2 linked regions of the Coturnix japonica genome follow. The protein of the gene in region 1 binds, or shares a complex with, the protein of each later gene. Links are inferred from orthologs where the notes say so. Each region holds a gene or a part of one and is shown on either strand. Other genes may lie near its edges. The genes, in order: AMFR and UBE2G2.

What was found.
Region 2: the proteins of AMFR (region 1) and UBE2G2 are in contact, whole or in part, in an NMR structure (PDB 2LXP), measured with the Homo sapiens proteins. The link is inferred for Coturnix japonica from reciprocal best matches to the Homo sapiens genes AMFR and UBE2G2. Residues at the interface, in NP_001135.3 of Homo sapiens: Ser574, Ala575, Arg578, Gln579, Met581, Leu582, Arg585, Lys586, Leu589, Leu590, Ala593, Arg594, Arg596, Phe597, Leu598, Lys600; in NP_003334.2 of Homo sapiens: Tyr13, Leu16, Thr17, Pro20, Gly23, Ile24, Val25, Ala26, Gly27, Pro28, Met29, Asn30, Glu31, Glu38, Leu40, Met42, Glu45, Glu50, Phe51, Val53, Val159, Gln160, Leu163, Gly164, Leu165.

The regions. Positions count from the first base shown.
Region 1 is NC_029526.1:500,472-503,885, forward strand, and holds the end of AMFR (E3 ubiquitin-protein ligase AMFR), read right to left. Parts: intron 3,067-3,414; coding exon 2,882-3,066; intron 2,060-2,881; coding exon 1,912-2,059; 3' UTR 572-1,911; downstream 1-571. UniProt on the Homo sapiens protein: E3 ubiquitin-protein ligase that mediates the polyubiquitination of lysine and cysteine residues on target proteins, such as CD3D, CYP3A4, CFTR, INSIG1, SOAT2/ACAT2 and APOB for proteasomal degradation.
Region 2 is NC_029524.1:3,999,997-4,002,878, forward strand, and holds the end of UBE2G2 (ubiquitin-conjugating enzyme E2 G2), read left to right. Parts: exon of another isoform or gene 1-142; intron 143-443; coding exon 444-556; 3' UTR 557-2,307; downstream 2,308-2,882. UniProt on the Homo sapiens protein: Accepts ubiquitin from the E1 complex and catalyzes its covalent attachment to other proteins. In vitro catalyzes 'Lys-48'-linked polyubiquitination. Involved in endoplasmic reticulum-associated degradation (ERAD).

The sequences.
Region 1 (3,414 bases):
TGAGCTGAGGGGGCATCCAGCCCACAGCAGGGTGGGCTTCAAGGTCTAACTCAAGCCATTCAATGATTATTATTCCCTAATTTCCATCTCATCCCTATTACTGTCCCGTTAGAGGACCCCAAGGGCTCATTTCTGTCTCTATCACCTCCACGTAATTCGCTCAGGGTGGGATTCAGCCCACGCGATCACCGCGGCCGGGCTCTGCGGGAGCGCCCAGCTGCGGGCACGGCCGCCCCCCAGCGGCTGCTCGGGGCACAGGAACGGCTGCGCTGCGGGACGGGGATGCGCGGGGATGCACTGCTGGAGCTGTGGGTGTCCCTGCTCAGTGCAGGGAGTGCGAGCAGACCCTGCAAGGTCCCATCCAACTCAAACCACTCTGTGATTCTGATTCCGCACCCCCCAGCCAAGCTCTGCCCGCTCCACACCCATCAGCTCTCATCCCCCCAGCCGGCTCTCCAACAGCCCCAAACCCATTTTATTTCCAGTCCCCCCACACATTGTTCCTCTTCCATCTCCCCCTTCACGCCACACTTGGATTCTCATCGTACAGGAACACACAGGACTCAGCAAACAATTTCCAACACTGATCAAGATTTTATTTCATTTCTTTAAACAGTAAAACCAAACAGCCGGGTTCTGAGCAAACCCCATCATCTCAAAAGAAAAACCCCTGGCAGTTCACACACAGCATCGCAAGGTAAGGCTGCCCAGAAAGGTTCACTGCAATCAATTACTCTCACCTAAACATCGAGGCCTTTCCTTAAACCCACCTTCAAACCTCCCTAAAGACCGACAGTAAAAAACAGATACCAATGATTCTAGATAATACTGGGCTCCTTCTAAAGGGCGGCGGAACAAGGATTCACTCATCAGGAATTAAACAAGTCACAGCTGTGTAAAATCCCACTCTGTAAGCTTAGCAGTGCTGGTTCCGGGTGTACGTGGGGTCAGAAATCCCTTAGAAAGATGCCGGGTGAGCAGATGGGGCTGCACAGTGCACAAGGGTCACCTGCCCTCCCGGTGCTTCTGTCTAATGGCAGAGCTGTGGGGTTAAAAATGACATAGAAAGCGTGATATCAGACATCAGAGCCAGCTCCAGCCTTCAAGTCCGTGCTGCTCCGCAGTCCAAAACAGGTGGGCTCCTCAATGGGACTCCATCAGCTTTTTAACACCGAATTCTGGGGGCTGCAGCCTCCCCTGTGCCCCCCCCAATTCTCCACTCTGCTCCTCCCCGCTTCTCACTTCTTTCTGGCTCTAAAAGGAAGATAGCGCAGCCCTGGGGAGCGAGCAGAACTACAGGCCAAGTGCCAAGAGCCCAGCAACGGTGAGCAAAGTGCTGTATGCATCGCTGTGAATCAGAGCAGCACTGCACAATTAGCAACTCCATTTTTTCCTATGTTGCGTTGCCAGACAGCTTCCACCCGCCTACAAACGGGCTTCCCAGCAGCACCGCAGCCAACCGACGCAGCTCCTTCACTCGGGAGGTGAGCAGGGAGCAGCTGCTCCTCTAACACAGGGTTTGCTGCCAACCCCTGCGCTTCCTTCCCCTCTTGCAGCCATGCCCTCCGACCTGCACCCACAGCTGCTCAATTCCAACTCATCTCCCTCAGCTTCCGTTGTGCAGTCAGGCCAACGCCTCGTGCAAAGAGAAATCGCACTGGTGGTTCAGATTGCTTTTGTCTGTGGAGGGGATCAACATCACATAGAAAACATTACAAAAAAGGTTAATTTGTCAGCTGTCCAAACATGATTAGACCACATGCTTTATACAGCAGAGCGGCAGCCAGCTCACTCGGCAGCGCTCAACTCTGAAGTGACACTTTCCTGCTGGTATAGAAATGCAGGGGTTTTGTGTTTCATTTCTTTTATTCAACATTGCTCACGAGGAGGAGGAAGGAGGAGCAGTGAGCGCTATGAGTTCTGCTGCATCTGCAGTCTCCGCTCGGCGGCGGCTGCCAGCGTCCTGCGGCGCAGCGTGACTGGGTCAGCGGAGGTTCCCTCGGGCACTGAGGGCTTCTCTGTGCTCAGATCTTCATCTGAGGTCTTGTTCAAGTAACGCCTGCAAGAGGAGAAAAGGGAGATGAGTGAGAGCAGCCCAATCTGTTTGGCTCCAGAAAACAGTCGGTGCTTTCAGGAAACAAGGCAGGAGCTGAAGCGCATCCAAAGCTAGAAAATACTTTGCATGGACACACTAATGATGCACTCAGACTCTGAGACCTGAGGTGAGTTACTGACTGGGTCCCACCACTGCACCATGCTGAAGTGCAGGCAGAACCTGCAGCTCCCTCCATGAGGACAGGGAAGGCGCTGACAGGTGGGCACTGGGGCTGCAAAGTGCCATATCTACATTCAATACTAGTTGAGCTGGGAGTAAGAGTTGGCCACGCTCACTTTGGCAGTGCTGACCTGCTCATCAGAAGCTCTTCTGGTCTGTCAGCCCTACGCAGCTCAATACCTGCTCTTGTTCTGTATTTGGAAAGTGGTGACCGACAGTGAGCTCAGCTGCAGCAGCACACAGCACAGGCTGACACCCAGGCAGGCAGGTTGGCTAGAAGTGTACTAGGAGTCTCAGCACAAGCAGTATTTCCTCACTTACTAGAAGCTGAATCTAAAGCTCACTGAAGCTGGAAAAATCACCCTATGAGCTCTGATCCACCAATTGAGAGGCTGTGTGCACGCTGCAACACAAGACGCTGTTTCAGAACTGGGTTTATCAGAGGCACAGGTCTGTCTTAAAGAGCACCTGAGCGTGTTGCAGCAATGTATTCATCCCTCCTAATACTCTTTGCACCACCCCAGTCTTTCAGTCATAATCCATGTAACAGCCATTCTGGGAGATTAAAACCGAGTGGCCAGGCTGCAGCTGTAGGAAGGAACATACTTTCGAGCTTGCTGCAACAAGTCCTCCTTCCGCTGAACCAACATGCGCTGCCTCTCATCAGCTGACTTGGAAAAGCGACTTCCCCTGGCCTCAAAATCTTCTGCTTCACTGGGTTCTGCCTCCACTTCGCTCAGTTCTCCCATTTCTTCCAGTCTTGAGTTGAGTTCCAGTGGCACTCTTTTGGTCTAAGAGAAAAAATGGGGAAGTTAGGAAAAGAGGGAGTTTTCTTTTTCAGTTAAACATCTCAAGTCTGTGCAAAATTTGCCACCAGGGCTTCTTCACATCAAACTAACAAGCTGCAAAGAGCTGCCACTTTCTGAGGCTCTGAAAGAAACGAGGCTTTCACTCGCTGCAGCCCATCCCCTGGGCTGCTTTGAAAACCCCAGCTGAAATACAGAACAGAGCTCATCTAAACCATGTTCAAAGAGCCTGTATTCTGTGTGCCTCTATTCTGTGTGCCTTCACACTCTGTGTGAAAGGGATCTCAGAGACACCAACGTTAATTACTCATAATTAATGCTCTTGATTTAGCT
Region 2 (2,882 bases), on another chromosome or scaffold:
CCATGAACCTGGAAAATCCCATGCCTCAGCTTACCTCTATACAAAAAGAAGTGTTGAAGTTGCAGGGTCTTATTGTACTTTGTAAAGCACTTTGAAATCCTCAGATGAAAGATATTGCAGAAATGAAAGCATTTAATGACGAGTTGTTGTGTTTTTTGGTTTGTTTTTAATAGAACAAACCATCCAAAAGATGGGCAGAGCCTGTTTGGGTGGCCTGCTTTGTGAGGCTTTGTGTTTGTGAAGCCACAGAACCAGAACAAATACGTAGCAGAGAGCACTGTGCAGTTTTACATACGTTTGACAGCACAAACAGGGGAAGTATATACAGGGGAAGTATACCAGAGCCACGGGGAAGTGACAGTGCAGAGACGCTGCTGAAGAAATGAGCCGATGTTGCTCAGTCCCCTGCATGCACACAGACCTTTCCATCTCTTTCGTTTCAGAGCCAAACGATGAAAGCGGAGCCAATGTAGATGCCTCCAAGATGTGGCGAGAAGACAGAGAACAGTTTAACAGAATTGCCAAGCAGATTGTGCAGAAGTCACTTGGACTTTAAGCTCACAAAAAGACTGAAGTGTTTTGTATTTCTCTCCACCTGAAAAAGAGCAGTGCTCAGTGCTGGTACCAAAAAGGAAAACTTTGCTAAACTATCGATCTAGTTCTTATCCTTTGTTATTTATTTACCATCTCTTTTCTGCTTCCGCTGCTGCACAGAAGCCTCTAGTTTACTCACTGAATCGTATGGGGAAGGGATTTATTGCTAGGGAAAATAATGGGAGCAATGCTGTTTCAAAGGCTCTTTGTTGCTACCTCACTTCATGGTATGGAAAGCTTGGAGACTTTGCAATCTGCAGCCTGCTTCTGTCAATCTGCTATTGGAGAACAGCCCTGAGTTAGATCTCCTGCTGGAGGAATTAGATTTACATCGGTATAGGTAGCATTGCATTGGGAACACCAGTAGACAGAAAATAGTTATCAGTCTTATTATACCAGCTAAGTTAAGGACAGTGTTTGCAGTCAGAACCGATCTGAAGACTGGTTAACCAGAGAAAGTTATAAGACAGGGTTTTAGCCAGAATGGTTTAACATAGGAAGTGATTCAGCACCGTGTAACTTGAAGATCCATGTGGTCATTGCTAGCAGCTGGCTGGTACTCCTGCATTACACTGTGAATTTGTACTGAGCCTTTGAGTTAGGGTTTGCTTGGAAGAAAGCCCAAGAACTGCTTTACTGCTCCCTAAAGACATTCAGTGTAAGCTTTACATTCAATTGGAGGTGCAAGATGTAAAGGCTGGGTTCTTAAATACGTGGGTCAGGTTCACTATGAGCCCTAGGTATGTCATCTGCAGCCTGAAAATGCAGTGAGGTTGTTCCTGCTCCATGGGGAATGTAAGATATCTCTGCAGTTACGTCAGCTCTTCTCTCCTGTAGCCATTTGGATGCTCAGAAAATGAAGCATTGCTGGCCTGTACCATCACAGCCCAGGTCACCCAGTTTTCAGATGAAGGAGCCTTTGCCACCAATGGGTTTTGTAATATGGGCTGTAACGCTTCTTTATGCTGAATGCTATAAGTAGGAGTCACTCGGCTGTGTTCTCTGGATGGTAAGATGCTTATTTAAAATGGCAGAGCACTGTAGGCCACTTCTGGTGGCTGGAGATGACAATCTGCAGTGCTTTGTGAAGCTGCTAAGGAGCTGCTGGTGACCTTTGTGCTTTGCAAGTGAGTCTATTGTTTTTCTAGGAGCAGCTTGGGAGTGGAAGGAGCTGTGCTGTGCAGAAAGCTTTACAGAGGAGATTGTGTGCATGTGTGTGTGTTGAACTTGTCAGTATTTCCATCATGCTGCACATGCTGCTTAGTCACAGGCTGCAGATTGGTGGGTGCCACCTTTCTCATCTTTGAATTCGGAGCTTGTATTGCTTGTATTCCCTGTGGAAGTAATTCCTGTCACTTTGGTGGGTGGGTGTGAAGGGGACCCAGCTTAGCATGGGAGCAGAGATGACAAGATAGTATTGTACCTAACTAGTATTTCAAGGCGTACAGGAAAACGTAGCATCTGTATGCAAAATAAGGGTGGTTTGGGGGGTTGTAATATATGAAGCATAGCTCCTGCAATTACCTCAGCTGCTGTTGGAGAGCTGTGTGCACCGCAGAGCAAACACTACGTTCAGCAGACGTGGCAAAGTGGGGCTCTTTTGAAGTGCGGAGTATTTCATTCACGTGTGTTTGCTCATTATTTTATGGTGGGATTTAGTCTGTATTCTGAAAATAAAGTGATTATATATATTTTTTCCTTTCATAAAAGTAATCAAATGTATTTCAGTAAGTGCTTTTAAGGGGGAAACAGCCGGTCAAGAGTCCAGTTTCATTGTGGGCCAACGGAGTGGAAGAGTTTGTGGTGATGCAAGTAAAACACTGGGGATGCTTTAGAGATCTGGAAGACTTGATGCAGTTGTTGGGGCTTTCCAGGCGAGTATCTTGTTGTGATGGCAATCAGTTGATATTTCAAAGAAAACACTAAAAATCTGGCAATCAGCAGATGTGACTCAGTTTGCCTCTAACAAAAGTTTTGTGGTGATCTAAGGCTCTGGGCTTAGGAACGTCTTGTTGTGGCAACAGGTGAATCATGAGCTGCTGTGTATTGTTCCGAGTGCGCCGATACCAGATGGCAGATTGGAGAAGGACAATTAGTTGGAGATTCTCAGGAGGAATTGGACAGTGCCCCCAAATCAGAGCTCAGCACAGCTGGCACTGAGAGTTTCCATGCTCAGGCAGTTCTTTGTGGCTGGGGAACACCCCGGCCTTCCTGCTTGTAAAGCTGCCACTTGGATGCTGCAATAGCCTGCCCTGAAAGCTTAATCCTCTCCTTGAAAGAGTACTCAC